Linked DNA regions of Schizosaccharomyces pombe. The gene in region 1 interacts genetically with each later gene. Each region holds a gene or a part of one and is shown on either strand. Other genes may lie near its edges.

The links.
Region 2: mutations in ngg1 (region 1) and mga2 together harm fitness more than expected from each alone (negative genetic interaction), as found in Schizosaccharomyces pombe (2 studies listed by BioGRID).
Region 3: mutations in ngg1 (region 1) and dad1 together harm fitness more than expected from each alone (negative genetic interaction), as found in Schizosaccharomyces pombe (2 studies listed by BioGRID).
Region 4: mutations in ngg1 (region 1) and hrp3 together harm fitness more than expected from each alone (negative genetic interaction), as found in Schizosaccharomyces pombe (2 studies listed by BioGRID).

Annotation. Positions count from the first base shown.
Region 1 is NC_003423.3:1,586,042-1,590,307, reverse strand, and holds ngg1 (SAGA complex subunit Ngg1/Ada3), read left to right. Parts: upstream 1-1,909; 5' UTR 1,910-1,965; coding exon 1,966-3,621; 3' UTR 3,622-3,716; downstream 3,717-4,266. Other genes in the region: upstream binding transcription factor, RNA polymerase I specific, Hmo1, read right to left, coding at 1-727, 920-949; transcription factor TFIIA complex large subunit Toa1, read right to left, coding at 3,891-4,266. UniProt on the Schizosaccharomyces pombe protein: Component of the transcription coactivator SAGA complex. SAGA acts as a general cofactor required for essentially all RNA polymerase II transcription. At the promoters, SAGA is required for transcription pre-initiation complex (PIC) recruitment.
Region 2 is NC_003424.3:4,123,200-4,129,353, forward strand, and holds mga2 (IPT/TIG ankyrin repeat-containing transcription regulator), read left to right. Parts: upstream 1-1,883; 5' UTR 1,884-2,012; coding exon 2,013-5,468; 3' UTR 5,469-5,606; downstream 5,607-6,154. Other genes in the region: protein Gid5, read left to right, coding at 1-1,319.
Region 3 is NC_003424.3:3,088,234-3,091,340, forward strand, and holds dad1 (DASH complex subunit Dad1), read right to left. Parts: upstream 1,108-3,107; 5' UTR 1,093-1,107; coding exon 820-1,092; 3' UTR 551-819; downstream 1-550. Other genes in the region: Smc5-6 complex non-SMC SUMO ligase subunit Nse2, read right to left, coding at 1,350-1,814, 1,930-2,052, 2,300-2,464; taz1 (telomere length regulator), read right to left, coding at 3,004-3,107. UniProt on the Schizosaccharomyces pombe protein: Component of the DASH complex that connects microtubules with kinetochores and couples microtubule depolymerisation to chromosome movement; it is involved in retrieving kinetochores to the spindle poles before their re-orientation on the spindle in early mitosis and allows microtubule depolymerization to pull chromosomes apart and resist detachment during anaphase.
Region 4 is NC_003424.3:5,375,816-5,383,455, reverse strand, and holds hrp3 (CHD family chromatin remodeller Hrp3), read right to left. Parts: upstream 5,633-7,640; 5' UTR 5,530-5,632; exon of another isoform or gene 5,041-5,529; intron 5,035-5,040; 5' UTR 5,030-5,034; coding exon 4,838-5,029; intron 4,781-4,837; coding exon 806-4,780; 3' UTR 543-805; downstream 1-542. Other genes in the region: proteasome receptor/ubiquitin ligase adaptor Dss1, read right to left, coding at 2-144, 185-226, 333-363; U1 snRNP-associated protein Prp40, read right to left, coding at 5,757-7,640.

The DNA.
Region 1 (4,266 bases):
TGTGCTTTCGCTTCGGTTTCTTAGCATGCTGTTCTTTAATGTCAGGAGTGGCTCTAGAAGCTTGAGCCAATGGTCTGGTTTCTGAAAAGTCTATCAAATCTTTTTTAGTGGGAGAGGATAAGTCTTCTGAAGGTTTAGTAGAAGTTTCCTCAGCCGTAACTCGACTATCAGCAACTGACGCATTTTCTTTAGAAGCATTATAAGCAGCCATTTCTTCTTCGTAGGCTTCTCGAAGTTTAGAAGCTTCTTCTTCGTAAGTTTTCCGATCATCTTCAGATAGCGAGCCCCACTTTTCATGCATCGCTTTATTCACCTCTTTAACATCGTTACTCTTCTCGCCCAAAGACTCCTTGATTTCCGATCGTTGGTTCTTCTGAAAGAGATTATAGGCTGATGGAGGGCGCTTTGGTTGTGCAGGATCCCTAGCCTTGCGCTTGTTTGGGGTCATGGAGGCTACAGCTTCCGACGTATCGACTGCGGAGGTTGCCTCAACAGGAGCTACTGCTGCAGGAGTAGCTTTCTTAGGTGAAGTTGCTTTTTTAGAAGGAGACTCAATTGCCATATTAATCTCTTTCTTCGCATTTGATGGATCAGTGACGGCTGGCTTAAAAGGTTTCGAAACCTCGGACTTCTCTCCTAATATCGAAGGAAGTGATTCTTCGATCTCACGGCATGCGGTTAAAGCTAACTGAAAAGCTTCCGCCAACCTTGTGAAAGAACCAGAAATCTAAGACGGCAATTTGTTAGATAAAAACCAAAAACCAAGCGGATAACTAAAGAAAATTTTGCATTTAATCATCAAACTTTTCAACCAATTAAAAAAGATTATTTTTAGTAAATACTTGATTTAAATCAATTTTTTGAATCATAAAACATTATGTTGGTTCAAAACACCAAAACTCTTTAAAATATCACATACCTTTTCCAGTTGGGTTGAGTTTTGAGCCATCGTACTACTTAAAAAATATTCAAAGTTTCTAATACAACTAAAGCTTCAATACGATGGCAAATACAGGAAATGGTGGCTGACCTACCGGGGTGATGGCGGGAATTTAAATCTTAGCGGTTATGACGGTGGGTGGTTGGTTAATGCTGGAAATGCGAAGCAGATGAAATTGCTTCAGTTAAACCCACCAGTTCGGTTGAGCTTTCTTCACATTTTATTATTATTACAGTTTATAGTTATTTAATATATGTGACAATTGTTATTGTTGAAATTACGATGGTTCAGTGAGATATTTCTTCATGTGATTCTGTTGAGTGATATAATGAAAATTACAAAAGACAATTGTAGTAAATTAAATATATAATAGGAAAATATGAGAAAATCTACAACCGAGAAAAATTTTTTTTTTTTTTTTTTTTTTTTTTCTTTTTCTAATCTCAATCCACTAAATTTGCTGAGACTTACAGTCAAATAATGTCCCATAAATGGAAAGAATAGCAATAAAAACATCCAAAATTTAAAAAAAAAAAATGATAAAACATTTTCTTGTAAATATTTACCTCTTAATTAAGTATAAACAAATCCTATTCCATTGACTCGTAGATCTATTTCATGATATCTTGTGAAGCTGCAACTCTGTTTATCTAGTTCTTGCGCTAGACCAATTGGTTTAGAAACTATTAAATTTAAGATAAATTTAATTTTAAACAAACCAAAGATCACTTATAGTGTTCAAAATACTTCGCAAAGCATATTGCTTTTGCGATGGATTCACTATGAATAAAATATATTGCTGTTTAATTTGGTTTGAGATATCATATTCGTAGCAATTCAACGCTGTTCTTGATTAATATTTCTGAGCACCGTTATAACAATGTAACAAGTGGTATACTAGACTTCGCTAAAAGTACGCCATCATCGAAATCCGGTATAAAAAATCACCACCTCAGTAATGAATTTTTTCGGGGGAGAGAGACATATGTAAATGTTGTATTGTTCACGATTTAAATTTTTTTGGGATGTCCTCCGAACAACAAAATGAAGCTGATTCGAAACCCGCGGTGATTCCTCAATGTTTTAAAATTGAAAATCAATACGAGACCTTTTCCCGTCTGAGTGAAACGTCAACTCCTGGTGTTGTACCGTCTGTGTCGACATTATGGCGGCTTCTGTTTGAGCTGCAAAAAATGATTGAGTGTGAACCGTCTTGTGTAGAATATTTTCGCCAGCGCAAAGAAGAGTTAGAGTCTCATGTCGATTCTGAAATAGAAACCTCAAAAGACGAATCGTCGGTTAATAAAGTGGAAGAAAAAGTAGAAGAATTTAAAGAAGACAACGTTGAACAAGAAATAAAGCAAAAGCGTTCTCTTTCCGAAAGTCCACAAGAGTCTATGCTAGAAAAAGTTTCCAAGAAGCCCAAAGTTTCAGAGGCCCATAATGAAGAAATCAGTCCCGAAAATGTGGAAACAATTGAGAATGAATTAGATTTACCGGTTAAGGGTAAAGATGAACAGACAACTGGGTTGGTATATAAAAACGCAAACGATCTTCTAACCGGTTCATTACTATCTTTCATTGTTGACGATTCCTTCTCTTATGAACAAAAAAAGAAGCTTTTATGTGTAGATTCCTTTCCAACCAGTGATGTACGATCGTTGGTGGCAGGAACTCCGGCGACTGATGATTTTTCTCACAACAAGCCAAATAACCAGATTTCAATATCAACCTTTTATTCGTCACTTGACCCATATTTTCGTGCTTTCAATGATGATGATATTGCTTTTTTAAAAAAAGGATTTGACGTTTCGTCTTCCTATAATATTCCTCCTTTGGGGGAACGCTATTACGATTTAACTCCGGAAGATGAAATGACCAACCTGTGTGCTAACTCAATTTACCAAAACCTGCAAACCTCTGCTCAAGGATCCCTTGAAGCTTTTAATGAGGCAGATACCGTCTCTGAGGAAGTTAGGTGTGGTCCACTCACTGAACGACTAATGGCTTCATTAATTCCTTGCTACACGCAGAATGATGAGGAGCAAAAACCTTCTATTGCTGTTGGCGAATTTGCGGAAACCGATTCTGGATCCGAGAAAAGCAAAATTGGTACAAGCATTGATGGAATCGAGTCAGGAAATAATGAATATACAGAACAACCGGATATACAAGAGTCGAGTCTTTCAATTTGTGAGGACCGCCTTCGTTACACCCTAAAACAACTAGGTATACTTTATGATGGCGATGTAGATTGGTCAAAGCGACAGGATGATGAAATTTCAGCTACCTTAAGGAGTTTGAATGCTCGTTTGAAGGTAGTTTCTGATGAAAACGAAAAAATGAGGAATGCGCTGTTACAGATGCTTCCTGAGGAAATGGCATTTCAAGAATTCCAAAATGTGATGGATGATCTAGATAAACAAATCGAACAAGCGTATGTCAAACGTAACAGAAGTTTGAAGGTTAAAAAGAAACGTATTGTTACTGATAAAATTGGCTCTTCAGCTACGAGCGGCTCTTTTCCTGTCATCAAATCATTGATGGACAAGCGCTCAATGTGGTTAGAAAAGCTTCAACCTTTATTTCAGGATAAGCTTACGCAACACCTTGGTTCGCCAACTTCTATTTTTAATGATTTATCGGACCACACTACATCTAATTACAGTACATCTGTATGAAGCGTTTAAAATTTGAAAGTGTATATACTGTAATTCTATCATTGTGATCTAATTTAATTGCTTGCTTTAGTGAATAAAATTTGCATGAAATAATAATAATACTTTTAACCGTAGAATAGATTGATGTGCTCACTAAAATATGATAGGAAGATTACTTAAATGCACTTATAAACATGATTCATGAAGAAAACAAAAAGGCCAAAAAGAAGAATGATTGATAGATAAAATACGTCCATCACTTTTTGAAGCAAAACACCTAAAGTAAAATTTTAAATCCATTCAAACTCACCATTCGCCTTGAAAAATAAGTAATCTTTTCCATTAACGCCAACTACGCCATCTCTGAACACACATTTCCATTTATTTTTGTGGTGGTTCACTTTGTCATAAAGACAAAGAACGATAGCCTGTCCAATATCAGAACCTTCTTCAGTTTCGGGAGCCTCATCTGAATCAGGATCGTCTAAATCTGAGTTAATTGCTTCGTCAGAAGGCGTATCAACAGGTGGCTTTTTTTCATCTTCGTTATCTTCTATAGTGCCGTCAATTTGCAAAATGCGATTCTTTTTCAAAACTTCATAAATTTCAGCATCAGCTTTCTGTGCAATAGCAAATCTATTACTTTCAAAATTAGAAGGGCTCCCA
Region 2 (6,154 bases), on another chromosome or scaffold:
CTCGTATTCTCGCCATCATAATCAATGAAAACGAAATTATGCAAAAGACGGCTGTAAATGCAGGTTTTATTGATGCTGCCAAATATCTTCTAGAATACGCAACTAAAGAAGAAGAGAATGAAATTAATTTTTTATCCGATGAATTGCAATCCAGCGTTTGTTTTAATCTTCCTGCTACCAAAAAGGAGCAAAAAAACCTAATCTTAGAATCAGTTTTGCTAGCCGTTGCTGCATTAACAACTTCTAAAGATGAATACAGAAAACTAATAGTTGATGCTAAATATTTGCCTGTTATCATTAATGCTTTGAAAATCAATTCTAACAGCGTGAAAAAGGCTGCTTGTGAATGCTTATTAAGTCTCTCGAGAAGCGTTTACATTTTACGTACGGGCCTTGCCGATGCAGACGTGAGCGAACCATTAATAAAGTTGCTTTCTGACCCGGATACTAGAGTCAAATCGACTGCTACGTCTGCCATTTGTAACTTGGTACTTAAGTTTTCTCCTTTGAGAGAGAAATTCCTTACTACAAATTTCATTGATACTTTGATATCAAATATTAGTACGAAAGATAGCAGTCTAAGAAAGAAGACCGTGTGGGTTCTGCGGCATGTTGTATTTGGTGATGATGAGACGATCCAGCTTGAACCTTTAAAAAAGATCGGTGCTTCAAAGCTTGTGGAACTTTGCAATGACGAAGATCTGGGGGTCCAAGAGCAAATGTTGCAAGTGCTGCGAAATTTTACATGTCAGAAAGAAGAAAGCGTGGATTTTCTTTTGAAAATGGTTCCTATGGAGTTGTTAGCAAAAATTTTGCTTGAAAAATTAGAAAGTAAAAATCCTATCCTAATTGAACCCAGTATTTACATTTTGGTGCACATCGCTGCCAGCGATGGTGAGCTTAGGGATTCTATCCTAAGGCAAACCAAACTACTACTATTGGTGAAGGAAATTATGCTACAAGAAGCACAACGTCTCAAGCCCGAGCAAATGTCCACAAATGTGTCATCTCCGGAAAGTGACAGTGAAATGGATTTGCAAGAAGATGATTTTGATAGGGAAATGCGTCCTCCTTTCGATATTTATGAAGAGGACACTTATGAACCAAACTCCGAAATTCTGTTGGCCGGAATTTGGCTCTGTATTAACATTCTATGGCCCAAACAATGTACATCTCCAAGCCAGGAAGATAAGGAAAGAGCAAGTATCTTACAAAATCTCGGATTTGGAGAATGTTTGCAGATGCTACAAAATCACTCATCTCCTGATGTAAGGGAACGTGTCAAAGATGCCTTGATGTACATCAATGTAACCGATTAATTTCTATTACGCTTTTCCGTTGTCTTTGCCGACTTGATTGGAACAGTCTAACAAATCGGAGCCATTTTCGCATTTAGTATTTCTGTATGTATAAATGTGTGCACAACTCTTGCAGCTGAAGTTAACAGGTTGTTGGATTGAAGTACTTTGAGAATGATCGTATATAAAAAGATTTAATGATTTATCAAAACGAATAAAATAAGTATTATGAACATTCAACTTATATGTATGCGGGATAGTGTAAAAACCTATTTAACATTGTAAAAATTTTTTAAGGAAAGTTGTACTTTGACAAGAACAATTTCATTTACATGTATTCTACTAAATTTATCAGAATGTTGGGAATTTTTTTGTTGGTATATAATGCCGAAAGGAAATTAATCGAATATGAAGAAAGTGGCGGAACTAAAAAACAAAACCCACAAACTAATTATTTAAATAAATATAACATAATAACTTGTTAAAATAAGAGTAATACTAGAGAATGTGTGCTCAAGTGGAAAGCATGTAATACTTGCACAACGTGATGGAAGAGATTAGTGTAGTAGCGCAGCGACAGCTTCCAACAACCAACTAATCGAGGAGGAAAGCAAAAGTGAGAATTGAAAAGAAGTAGTACATTAAAGACCTTTAAATTCTTTGAAAGAATTGCCTTTATAAAGGTAGTCTATTGCATTTCAAAGTACTCTCAAGATGAATTTAGAATTTTCTTTTGGAAATTTGATCGCCAAAAATACCGAGAATTCGACTAAGGAAGAAGGAACTTGGGAAGTAAACAAGCTCATGAAATTTAGTTCAGAGGAGGGGAGGTCTTCCTCTGATGATTATATGTTTTCCTCTCCCGATTTTGAAAAAGCCGGAAACGGCGATGCAGAAATGCGTGAATTTTTTAACTTCGATGGATTGCCGGATCAAGGTCTAAATTTGCCTAGTATAGCTCCTCCGTCTTTATCCCATGCCAGTTCACCTAACTTATCGAATTCACAAGATGAAGCGGAATGTTTACCGTCTGATCGTCAGCAAGACTACATCAATCCTAGTTTGCATTTGAACAGAACGGTGTTTCCTACTCCGCAACATTCTATTTCTGATGCTAATTTTCTAGCTAATACCGTTGATCAACCTTTGGGAGATAATCCCATGTTTGGAGAGTCGGATGTTTATCTTTTAAAAATGGATCCTATGAAACAAGCACCTTATGAAGCTGGATTTAATTCTGTAAAGTCATCGGGCGCCATCGAAGATCCATTACAGTTTAGACAGCCGATTACCATGTTGGAAACTCCCTTCAACGAATCTATTAATACTCTTACGCCATATGCCGAAGATTATGCATTTTCCTCTTTAAATACGTCTGCACCGCCTCTTTCTAATAAGGAGTACGCGTTCTCAGTTAATCATTTACCAGCTATCAATGAGCACAAATGGAAATCTCGGGTGGAAACTAACATGCTTTTTGAGTTGCGGATCAAGAGCAACGATAATCAAAGTGTTCCGTTTGAATATCTTCGCTTGCCAAGTTGGGCTCACCGTGAAGACAAAAAGCGTTCTTCGAAACCTCAGCCTTTGCAACCCGATCCGGAGACCGTCATTCATCTTGTACCTACCGTTCTTGCAGGTGACAAAAGCTCAGTTGTTAAGACTTGCTGTACTCGCTGTTTACTTCGAGAAAGGAAGCGCAATGCTCGATCTCAAGCAACAAAGGATGCTTGTATGCCTAACTATACTAAACTGAAGGCTTATGAGCGTAACATGACTGATGCCTCTCCCGAAGAAAAGCAGCAGTTCAGGATCAAGCTCTTAAATCAATTTCCCAAACTTGAAGACATAGATGAAGATAGAATGATAATGGTTTTTACTGGACCTGAGTACGTTCGTTTGCAATTGGATGGAAATGAAAGAGTTGCTCACATCAATGCACGGATTACATGTTACTCGTCTCATCAATCATGCCCTTACTTTCACATCATATGGGACTTATACTCCATGTCACGTTTGGTGGATCGTCTTGTTTTTCCAGAGCCTGTTACCGTTCTTGATGATCATAAAAGTAGAAATCTTACGAAATCAGAAAAGACTGGTAAGAGCAATTCTCAACAAGCTCCTTCAAACCATGTTCTTTCTAAAAGCAATACTGTCCCCAATCTTGTCACTGGTTTCCCTACCCGTTCAGATAATCCACCAAATGAAAAGCGTCGTCGAACATCCTCGAGTGAAAATTCTAGAGCACTCGACATACAACTATCTGCTAGTGACTCGCATTCACCTAATTCGAAAAGCACTTTGAAAAGTGTTGAGGGCTCAGCCTTTAGTATGAGCAAATCCCCTTCTGTGCTGAGTATGACTACCCCAAGCGGCGTAAGTCCTTCCATTTCAAAGAATGGTTTCCATGTTGTTCGAGTTCCCAGCGATGCCGCTGGTTTCCAACAAAGACAACAGCAAGAGGAAGGAGTGCTTGAAGCCCATACAAATGAAAGTGCCCCAATAGCCCCATTCCCTTACTGTACAGATGATTTCTCGTTTTCCGTTGAAGAAAAAAGTAGTGTCAACAACTTGCTTACACAATTTGATGAGGTTGCTAAACCTGATTTTGTAAGTACGCCGATAAAAGAAAATGTTGATTCTTCTTTTATAAACATGACTCCACCTGATGTTTCACATGCTCCCTTAATATCTCGGATTATTCCTAATAAGGGTTCAATCATGGGAGGTTATGAAGTTACAATTCTTGGCGCGAACTTTTTTAATGGATTAGTCTGTTTATTTGGTGACAACCCAGCTGCTGTAACTTTTTCGTGGAGTGAGTCAACGATTATAGCGACTTGTCCTCCTGCAACTAATGCTGGAACCGTTCCTGTAACCTTTCAGAACTATAATTCATCTTCTGAAGCGCCAGTAATGTTTACTTATGAAGATAATTTAGATAATGAACTTTACAAATTAACTGTTCAAGTTTTAGGCTTAAAACTTACTGGATCTATTCAAAACCCATTAACGTTATCCAAAAAATTGTTGAGTTCATGGCGCGACGATTTTGCTCAATATATAACAAATTCTATTAAGCAGCCTCCTAACAGTGAATCTAAAGGTCAGTCTAAAAAAACCTTATTGCATGATAGCAATATGGAATCGCTTAAATCGGTTATTTCGCGGATTGTGAAAAAAGACAGTAATCAGTCTGATGACAGTGTTGAAAGTACTATCCTCGCAGCATTTGCTCTTGTTACAGATACAACGACACCATACCTTTCTGATTTTAGTCTTGTTAACGAATCTGGTAGGTCACTTCTCCACCTTACTGCTGCCTGTGGATTGTCTAATGCTTCGACGTTCTTATGCAACGCAGGATGCGATGTTAACAAAAGGGACGCACTTGGCTATACACCACTGCATTATGCTTCATTGTATGATCATAAAGACATATGTGTTAATTTACTTTCCAACGGTGCCAAGCCTGATGTTATAGGAGCTAGCGGTAAAAAACCGATAGACCTCTCCTCTTCTGAGCCTATAAAACTGGTCTTTAAGGAAGCAAATAATGAACAAGCCCAAAGTATTTCTCGCTCTCTTATTAAGGATTCTGAAGGCTCCATTAATACAAATGAAACCTTAGAATCAACCAGTATTGTTAACGAAATTGAGGAATCTGCTGTTCAGACCAAGTCATATAGTGAAAGTATGTGGAATAAAACTGTTACAATGTTTCCATCGCTTCAAGAACTACCTCAGAATTATATGAGTGAAGTTCCATCCATGATGCAAAAAGCCATGCTGTCAACCTTAAAAAGTATATCGGCCATTCCCGATGATGTACCCCCTCCTTATTCTGAGTTTGCTGATGATACGACAGCGCAAGCTGGTTCTAGTAAAAGAGATAGCGCTATATCTGAAGATCCCGATCATCACAAAAGTGTTTGGTGGTCTTTGAGATGGCAATCTCGGCTTGTTGGTCGTGGAAAATCTACTGCTCTTACTCCTGAAGAAACCAGAGCAATACAGGAGCAGGCAAAGACACTGAAAAAGGCAGGAATGGACTTTATGCTATTCTCTTTCTGGTTACCTGCCCTACTTTTGCTGAGTATCTTTGGTCTTCGAAGCTATGCTCAAATGATCGGGGGATATTTATATCGCTGCATAATTGGCATTTAGGTTTGACGAACAACCATGCATGTTTTTTTCTTTCTTTTAGTTTTATTCTTTTTTGTAGATTATGAGCAAACTACTGTCAAAACTTAGGTATTATGACAATGAAATCGTATATATTATATTCGATTGGATCAATTTTTTATTATATTGAAAGTAATTGCTTATTTTGTAAGTTAAACTTACATGGGTTTAAACGCATAGAGCAGGTTGGCGCTTTTAAAACCAAAATAGATCGTTGCAGGTTTGCTGTTCTGGATCGTGAATGCAATACCTTAGGAAAGTCTTTTAATAAGCTATCGCTTTTTGCATTGCATTCTTTTTCTAAACTGAACGTTAGATTAGCTAAAGTAAGCGTCTTGAGTTTTCGAGATGAACCGCATACATTAAAATTTTTAAGTACCAATTGGCATGAACCGGTATGCGATCTGCTTATTATAATACTAGTAAATCTTGATACTCGGCAAACTCTTTCAATAATAGCCTAGCAGAAACTGGGATATGTCTAAAGTTTTACAACTGCGCTCAGCTTAAGGACTTTACGGCGATCCATTTAATAGCTAGCCATGAACACTCATAACCTCAAGATTGAGGAGTGGGTCATTCTTTTGCTTGATAAAGAAACAAATTCATTATTGGTAAAATAAAACTGAATAACCCTTAGTTCATCCTAGGAATTTGAAGAAGGGGAA
Region 3 (3,107 bases), on another chromosome or scaffold:
TTATGCTTGTATGCTTTCTTTTAATCTAAGCATATTGTGTAGCAGTTTCCTTTTCAGAATTTTGCTCCTATCTCAACTTTTTATCTTTTCAGGTATTTAACTAGCCAATATGGTTTAGATGGATTATCGACTATTGGAGCTATTTTGTGATTTATAATTTGTTTATTAAGACGTTATCTGTTTGATTCTGAATATATGTCAGCAAAAATCAATTGGTCTTAATGTTTTTTTTTACTTTTACTTCAAATATGCCTATATTTGTCCGAAACTTTGAAAATCGGTTTTTTAACCCTGACTGGTTCAGGGTATTCATGTCGTGAATAAAACGATAGTTATATAGAAGATATTGAAATGAATACTTATGATTCCTTTTACCTTTTTATTATGCTAAACTGCATTAAACCCCTTTTATAATTTAAATAATACCATTAAAATGGTAATTTCTAAAAGGATTCGTATAGTAGTAAAGAAAAAGTTTACTATGCAAATATTAACATCAACAGTTGTTCTGCCTCTCAGACGATGAACGGCTTATTTAAAAATTGGCAGCTTTTAGAAGAATATAGGAAGATTAAAAACTAATATATATATACAAACACATTATTAATGAAGTGACTTAAGGTTTGTGTATTGTAATATGTAAGTTAATTTAAAAGAATCCTGACCTTTGACCAATTTTTGAGGACGCTATTAAATTTATAGATTCATAAAAAACATATAATAACTAATAATTTAATTTAATATGCAAATTCTTTGAAACAAACTGCGTTAAGGCATATGTTTAGCGGCAATGAAAATACATTTAGAAAAGAACGACCATCAAGGTGCATCTAGCATTTCACGATCTTTCTTCTGTAACACTGAATTTTGAAACTCCTTCCAAAGAGACGCGACATTTTCAAATTCCTTTCCAACACCGTTAATGCTTTCAAGATTTTTATTTAGAGCTGACATAAGATTCACAACTTCATTCATACTTTTTGAAATTTGTAAGGTCAAAAGACGACGCCTTCTTTCAAAATCTATATCATCAAAATCTTTATTTTGCTCATTTTGTATGTTTTCAGTAATATCCATATTTTCTGAGGACATGGTATGTTAATGGCTAGTGTCAAAGTCAAGCATGAGCCAAAGTTTATCATAAGGTTACAATCAAGTAGATCTTATATTAGATTTAACTATCTTCATAATTAAATGCCAAAATTGAAGCTTCCGTACGAGCATAGAATATTAGTCAAAAGAGACATGTTATGCATATTTACAAGTTGGAATAAACAAATACATTAAATATAATAATAATAATAATAATAATAAATCCGGATCAGTACTACAATGTAAATAGAAAAGGACTAAGCTTCTTTTAAATTACTTATTTCCTGAGCGCGGCGTAATCTGCGTTCAAGAATCTCATCTTCCTTAAGTAAAGACCTTTGTAAACGAGCTTCACATCCTACAACAGGGCATACACAAGTTGGATTTAACAGAGACAAAATAGCATCTTTTTCATAAAAATGATTACAGGCTGTCGATAATATTGGGTGAACAATTGGTTGTAAAGTTAAAGGGCATCTGTTATCAAAGGTAGCTGAATATACCATCACTTCATCTGCTTCCTGTTCTTCAGTGTTCATGACATTAAAAAATGTTTTCATAGAAGGAAAGTCAGAACCGTCTGTATTTTGCTCATGCCATATGGTTTTTTTAAATTCAATGTATTCTCCTTGTGTGCCATATTTACCATAGTCGGATTTTTCTTCGTATTCTTGAATGAGTTCCTTAAAAATTTGTGTATAAATATCCAACAAACTTTTATTCTAATTTTGTTAGAACAATTGAATATGAAACAGTAAAAAAATACGTCTAAATTGATGTTTTTACTTCATCTACATATAATAGAAAAAGTAGGAAAGTCATTTCCGTGGTACGTACTTCAAAATCACTTATATTTTCACTGGTTTTGTTAGCCAATGTATCCACCGATTGCTGCATCAATAACAATCTCTGCTTTGCATCCAACAGCTCTCGGATCCCGCTATCAAGCATGTCCAAACACTAAAAGGCAAGTGTTAGTCAGAAGTCATAAAGTAAGCAGCATGTCATATTATGTCTATTTTAGGCTCTCTCTCAATAGCCGGAAATAAGAGGAAGAAAAATATTAGTTAAACAATGTTTTTGTATGTATATTTGTACAGCGAACTTCTTTTTAAAAAACTGTATCTCGACATAACACCACTTTCGAGTTTTAAAAGCAATTCATATTAATTTTTTCCATTATCTTTCGTAATAATGGTACACATACCTCATTATTTTTTATCTCAGCAGCAACTAGAGCACATTTTATCACCTGTTTAATTGAATCGTCAATTTCCTTCAATTGGAAGTCGAAACTGCAATGATTTTGGTTTCCAGGTAATAAATTTTGACTTAAAGCCTCCAAGGAAGTTTTTAATTGTGCTTCACTCATTTACGATTCCATTCGAGAAAGAAGTAGTTACGACGTTTAATTAGTAGACAACGCAATTTGGGATTGAAAACCTATTAATTGCATATGAAAACTAAATGCCACAACACTTATTTCCTTAAATAAAAAAAGAATGTTTTTTAAGCAAGGGTAATAACCACGTTTTAAAATTTAAACTCCAGTACGTTTTTATGAAGATTGATGGCATATGTATAAAGACTAAATAAATTCTTATTTACTGTCACGTTTAATACAAATGAATGGGTTATGAAATATTCTCATTTGGAATTAGAATTTATAATGCATACTTCGGACAATTAACGCTTGACTTTTAGTACCTCTATTACTAAACCAACTATTCAATATGATAAACCAATAAAGGATGATTAAGGCCGTGAAATGTATAAATTAAATTATGTTATTTTCAAAATATTCCATAGATTAGTAGTAAAGTAAAACACGATTAACAAAACTATCCGAGTCTTGTCAATATTATTCATTAAAAAAGCAATCATGAACAAACTCTATCCGGAGACGAAAAATTAAGATTGATAATTAACAAGCTCTTCCCGTAAAAGTGGCGGAGTTGCCTCTATGTAAGGTATTTTATGAAGTTCACAATAGGCCTGGCCCACAGTAACATTTT
Region 4 (7,640 bases), on another chromosome or scaffold:
CTTAATTGGCGGCAACACCCTTCTTTTTTAACTCTGCTTGTAATTGAACAGAAAAATCATCGTCTCCAATGTCCTCATCGTCCCAATTGTTTTCCCATAGCGTATCATCTCCAGTATCAAGCTCTGTATCTTTCATAGGCCAATCTTTTTGATGTTAAATAATTATTTCTTTAAAAGTACTTACTTTCTGTTGCGAAATCTTCAAACTCATCATCATCCTCAAGGTCTAAGCATTATGTTAGTAAACGTCTTTAGGCCAACGAAAAAATCATAGACATTAGCATATCGAATAAATAGTACTCGAAAGCCACTCTAAATAATTTGTAACGTACTTTCTAAGCTTGGTAAGGCCGCACGAGACATTCTAATTTATAAACGTGATTTGGTGTGAAAGGTGAACCCTGCCGTACTGTGATGTTTGAATGAACTTTTCACTGGTAACGATGTCTACTGAGTTACACTATTATATTTACAAACTGCATAAAGTTGCAGACTAATAAATAGCAGTTTGCCATTGATATTTCAATTAAAAACAAATTGTATTACTGGATTATTCTTATCTATGCTGACTCTATGTTCTGAATACCGGAGGATTTCCTAAAGTCAAGATTTGAAATGCAGGGTTTATTAACATTATAATTAAAGGTACAATAAGAAACGATTTTTAGACTAGAATTTAGTGATCTTTGAAATGTAGCAATCAAAATTGAAGACTGTAAAAGATAAACATATTCGAGCTTCAAACCTAAAATATTCCGGATGAAAAATGAAGAAACAAATTGGCTTTTGTATGACAGGCTAAAATCTACTTCATCTTTTCATACATGCTGATCAAGCTGGTATATTTAACCTCCTCCTTCGGCCAAAAGTAACATGCAAACATCCATAAATTCTTCCTAACAGTAGCTTTTTCTTCGGAGGGTGTATCATTGACAGTTTTTTCAATATGCTTTCCAATCGTTGTCAAACACTCAGTAAGTAACTTCACCAACTCCGCGCGTCCAAGCCCACTAGAATCTTTCCGAAGTCTTTTCATATGCTTACGGACTGGATACATCAGTTCTTTGCAGCGTGCCTTTTGTTCAGCATTTAGACTTACATTACCATCGTCTTTTTCAGATTTGACGGGTGAAGCTGTCTGGCTGCGAGACTGTTCCCTACTAGGTGTTTCAATCTTCGTGTCTTTAGAAGAAGGTTTCTTACGAGATTCTGAAATTGCAGGCGATGGTGTCCTAGTTGCACTCTCTATTTTTTGCGCAGATTTAACGTTAGGCTTGCCACTTTGTCTGCGATTAGCCGTCTGCTTCTTAGGTTGAGTTTTTCCATTAGTACTAATAGCGGGGCTTGATTTTATGCCAAAATTTTGGTGATGCTCACGTAAAGCACTAAGTAGGTATTCACCTCGACGAACCAAATGCACAGCTGAAGGTACCTTTTTCTCTTTATTTTCTTTATCTTTGGGGACAGAGTTGTCTGTTTGTTTTGTGTCTTCTAAAAAGATCTTGTCTTTCATTTTGAGTTCTGGATCATCTCGAATTTCTAACCAAGCTCCAAATCCATGCTTACAAATTCCAGAAAGCAACATGGAATCTTCTCGGGGTCCCCACTGACAGGACCAGCCGTGAACAGATCTAACGTGCATTGGAATTTGGAAGTTAGAATATCCTGACGTTGGCATAGCATCATAAAGAATATCAAGATCATTTAGCCTTTGTACCAATGTTTCAGCATTTATATTTTTTACACCTTTAAATGTAATGAGCAGCGCTTTACGAGATGACTTATTATTAGACTGATCATTAGATAAGTCCTTCTCGGCTGCTGATACAGCCTTGCGTGAAGCGGTTACTAAGTCAGCTGCAATCTTTTTTATTACGTGAGCATCTTGCGTAGTAAGATCAGCATATTTAACAATGTCATTGTAGCGATGCTCAAGGCTTCCATATCTAATCATAGCACGATAAAGCAACCGAATTTCCTTTTCCAGTAAAACCTCATCTTTAAGCATTTGCTTTTTGCTCTTCCTTTCAGAAGTTCCAGAGTAGGATGGGGATTCCACCGCAGAGCTAGGATAAGGACGATTACCTCGTCTACTACTAAGCTCAATTTCTTGCTTAAGCGCTTCTTCCTCTTCTCTTAAGCGGTCTTCCTCTTCAAACTTCTCACGTTCAGTTAGGGGTATAATATCATCCCAAGATACATCTGCCTTATAGTCTGTAACTTCGAACTGTTTCAAAAACTCTTCACCACCCATGCTGGCTCCACCCACATCATTGGAAGTATCATGATCTTCGGCATGTTCCAAAATTTCATCTAAATTCATATCCTCAAGCTTCTTTTGATTATTCTCTGCTTTAAACATATTAGAAGCTCCAAATTTCAAAATAGCGCTAAGCTCTTCAGCAGAAAATTTATCATTTTTGGAATTCTTTTGCTTGTCTGTAACACCTAATGAAATAATTGCATATTCAAGAATCATTTTACGACGTGCACGTTCCAAGACATCTTCTTCAATCGTATCTTTGGAAAGAAGCCTGTATACCATAACATGATTTTTCTGACCAATGCGATGCGCACGTGCCATAGCTTGTAAATCAGCTTGAGGGTTCCAATCGGAATCAAAAATAATAACTGTATCAGCAGTCATTAAATTAATACCTAATCCTCCAGCTCGTGTGGATAATAAAAACACAAAATCTGGGCTGTTTGGTGCATTAAAATGATCTATTGAAGTTCTTCGTACAGCAGCAGGGACAGTGCCATCCAGTCTCTGATGTGGATATCCCCTCAAAGAAAGATAATCACCAAGAATGTCAAGCATACGAACCATTTGACTAAAAATTAAAACGCGGTGGCCGTCTCGACGAAGACGTGATAGAAGTTTGTCAAGTAACACCATTTTCCCGCTGTTCATAATTAAACCTTTTAAGACTTCATCTCGTCTTCCTTGAGAGTTTATTTTTTGCATCCATGACTCTTCTACTCCGTCAAATAAGTAAGGATGATTACTTGCCTTTTTCAACTCCACAACTATGTTTAGTAAAGATATTTGACTTCCCGAACTTATGCTTTGAGTAAGGACACGGTAATTGCGAGTTAAAATATTTTTGTACCAGTACATTTGTAAGTCAGAAAGCTCAACACGAAGGATACGTTCAGACTTAGAAGGAAGAGATTTCTCAACGTCTTTCTTTAATCTTCGTAAAATGTAGGGTTGTAAATGCTCCTGTAAACTTCTAATATAAGCTTCCTGCTCCTCATCTGGTGCTTCTAAATTAATTTCCTCACGAATCTCAAACTTTCCTGGCATCAGGAAGTCTACCAAAGCCGCAAGCTCACGAATATTATTTTGTAATGGTGTTCCAGTTATAAGTAATCGATTTGAGTTCTTGAACTGAGAAAGTGCTTCATAAAGTGACGATTCACTGTTTTTTAATCGATGAGCTTCGTCAATTGCCATATATTGCCATTTTATATTACTAAGCACCGAGCGATCTTTGAGTACATACTCATAAGTAGTTAGAAGCAAGTTGAACTTTATTTTCTGAGTTCCATCAACATAAAATTCGTAATCCCTTATTACTTGCCTTGAGGTGGTATTTCCAAGGTAACTTATACAATTCATATCAGAAGCCCAAAGAGCTAATGTCTCTTGCCAGGCAGGAACTGTAGAAAGTGGAACAACTACAAGAAAAGGTCCATGCTGTCTTAAAGAATGTGCAAGATATGAAAGAAAAGCCACAGTTTGGACTGTCTTACCGAGACCCATTTCATCGGCCAAAATCCCATTTTCATTTTTATGCCAAAGATATGCCATCCAGTTGACGCCTGTAAGCTGAAAGTCACGAAGCTCACCACCGGTTATATACGAAGGCTGTTGCTCCAGTTTTCGATACTTAGGACGCGAATTACCATAGTTTGTACCTCTTGATGGACTAAGAGCACTTTCTTCTCTTTCTTGAAATGCCTGAATTTCCGTGGCAGCAATAGGCTCAATAATTGAGGAAGCTTCCCATGTGCAAAAATCATATAACAGCTGCTTCCATTTCACTAAGTATTCAACTGAGCCATCGGAGTTTAAGTGTTTGGCAACAATTCTGTCTACCTGCTTATATTCCTCGTAATTTTCACGCTTTCTCTCTTTTTCAATATCCATTGCTTCAATGTCTTCACGCGTAGTGGTCGGATCTTCTCGAATTTCTCGATCAAGAAGTATGACTTGCTTAATGTGATTGTCGACCTTTTTAGATCCTCTGATCATAGAAATGTTATTGTAAGGTTCCCATGTACAATGAAGATGAGAAAAATTAACCCATTTAATTAAAAACTCATAATCTTCAGAAGGTGTAGAGCCATCGTGTCCTTCAATAAGTCTATGATCTAAAACGACATCTATAGCTCGTGTATCTTCAGGTTCTTCAGAAACTTCAGTTGCGTACTCATACATCTCTTCTTCCTCTTCTTCTTCAAACGATTCAAAATACGCGTCTTCGTTATAGTTAACACCTTTACTATTTCTAGAAGAAAATCGAATTTCATCTTGAACGTAGGTGTTTGATTTTTTTTGCCGAGATCGCTTTTTGGGAGTTCCGCCATAAGAACTATCATCTGACTCACTTTCCTCAGAGGTGACAGATTCAGCTTCATCGTCTAAATCGCGAATTGTTCGATGACGAGAAAAAGATGAACCATTTCTAGTACCTTTACGATGCTTGGATGGGAACACATCTTCTTGATCATCAGTGTCTACATATCTTCCTGGATTACTACGAGTGCGACCCTATAATGATTAGCATCTAAGTAAGTTTCATAATGAATAAAATAATGTGAGACATACAGAACGTCGAAGACCGTAAAGCTCTGGGTCGAGCCATTCAGTAGATTGTAATTTGCGCTTGGAGGCTACGCCGCTATTCGAAGGGGATTCGGACATTTCCTGCTTAAGATTAGGGGTTTCAGTTTGAACGTGATCCAGCTGCTCAATAGCCTTAGATGATGACAAAGCAAGTGCTATAGCACTTGTACTCATATCAACTAAAACAGAAGTTAGAACCAATTTCGCAAATTTCTTATTGCAAAACTTTTCCGAAATTGAAATGCTGAATAATTGTGAAATATGTAATAGGCTTCCATCCAACTTCTAGTTAACTGAGAACTGCCAGATGCCACTTTAAATGTGAATATTTATAACTCTTGACTAACGACTATATTTAGACGAGATCCGAACAGATTTAAATAAAGAACACATATTAACTCCCGTATCTTTTCGATAGGAAGCACTATATCGTTCATTTTCGAAGAAAGAGCAATTTTGAATAAAAGGTCGAATGCCACCAAAAAGATTGTATCACAAGAGAAACAAGCAAAACATAATAAGAAAGAAGGTTTTTAAAAAAAGAGAGCTACATTCAGTGCATTGAACAATGTAGGTTTAACAAAAAAATGCGACACGTGGATCATTCACATATTCAGCGTCAAATTCGGAAAACGAACTGTGGCTGCAACAAAATTTAATAAAAATTTACTTACGCGTTATTAAATAGAACGCTTATAGCAGTATTTTGCTATTTTAATAGCAACTTGCTAGTTTTGTTACAAAAACAATTTTTGAGGTACTGGTGGTAGAGGTTCAAATAGCTACAGGCTGTATCCGCTACTAAAGGTAATCAAACTGTATGAATACAAAAAGCGAGTTGAGAGAACATTAAAATGCATGTGTATTAAACGCACTAACAATTAAATTTCTAACTTGAATACTAACGAATTTCACCTTCTTCACTAGATTCTGCATCATCAACAATATTTTTAACAGCCGGTTGTGTAGCGGTAACATGAGAGATTGAATTTTCCTGTACATCCTGCATCGTATTAATTTCATTCCTATTACTTTTTGACGCTAAGTCAGCAGAATATTCCAACCTTCCATCTTCGTATCCGCTATGTGGTCGGGCACTATTCGCTAAATAACTTTCATCTTTACCGACATCATAATAACCTCTTCTGTTTTGGTATTGCTTTTCCAATTCCCGTTTTTCTCGAAGCCGTCTTATATATTTGTCAAAAGCAGCCATCCTGTGTTCCTCGGAATGGAGCGCAGCAAATTCCGGTAGAATAGAAATTAAAGGTCTAATTTCATCGTAAGAAGCATCGGCAGAAATTGGAGGTTTAAGGTATTTAATGGCACTTCTGAGATTATCAATTTTCCTTCGAATGCGTCGTTCATCAGCACGCTTTTCCTCAGCTTTTTTGTGGATCGCTTTATCACGTAATCGATTAACAACTTCTTCAATAAGGTCTTCAGTTACTGCCTCACTTTCCTCTCGATCTTTAAGCTTTTCTGATAACCTTGCTATAATTTCAGGAATATTAGATGTGTCATCCACAGATATTTGCAATACTTCAAGACAGTCCAAAACCAAATTACGCTTTTCCCGATACATATTCTCCAAATCAACGATCGTATCCCAAAATAAATCTAATGGTGTAGAGCCAGATTGCCCTAGTAAGTTAAGATATCTTGGATCATCCTTGATTATGGGATATAATTCTTTCCACTTCGTGCGTAATGTAATCTTCTTTTGCACGCGTAAGTCTTGTAATAGCGCACGAAAGGCATCACGATTTTTCCTTTCTATACGATGCTTTTCTTTCTTCTGCTTTTGTTTGTCAAGAATATATTCGCGTTCCAAATGCTTAACATGATCTTCAAATGCTACAAGAGCATCTAATTTAGAAAGATATTTCATATTTGAATTCCTTGTATACCTTGGATCTTGATCAAATTTTGCTTGCGCAACGCTCCAGCGGGTGTAAGGCTCGAAATTCATGTTTCGCAAAAGCGAACAAAAATCATCCAATGCTTCCTTTCTGCGATCCTTTTCCAACTGCTTTTCATCCTCTAAAAGCTTTTGCTTATATTCAAAAAATAGTTGTTGTTGTTCAGTTTCAGAAGAAGTAGCGTTAAAAGCAGGATGAGAAGAAAATTCATTCTTCACAGTACGCCACAAAGTATAAGAATGAATTTTATCACTACTTTTTAGCATCTCAATAAACTCCTTCCTAATCTTAGTTACTCGGTTCTTTTCTGCATCACTTTGATCGGTCAAATAGTTTAAGATGTACGCATCGAAAGCACATTTCCGATGCCAAGGATCCTTCATGACATAATAGCCCTTAGCATCACAAAGCTCTCGGACAGTCTGCTCCCAAGTCCAGCTTGGGTTGACATTATGAGAGTCTAAAAATTTAAAGAAAGCGCGCTCTGCGGCTTCATAGGTATCATAGTTTTCGTGCTGATAATCATTAGAACGTTTTTGGCGCTTATCCTTTTGTTGAACAAAGTTTATAGTTCGTTTATGACTGCCTTGTGAAATTTGTTGGCTTTGATCTTTAGCTGGTTGACTTGAAGGAGCAGCAACATCCGGACCATGCCGTTGAATGCTTTGAACAGCTGGCTTGTTGTCATTGCTTTTGATTTTAGACGACAAAGCCTTTTTTTGCTGTTCCGGTTCATCAACAAGGGCAGCTTTATATTCATCAGGAATATCCCACACTGATTCACGGGTATTGACATTATACCAATACTTTTTGCCATCAGCGGTGGCATATTCTTTCCAAGCTAGTTTCGAAAGCTTTTTTTC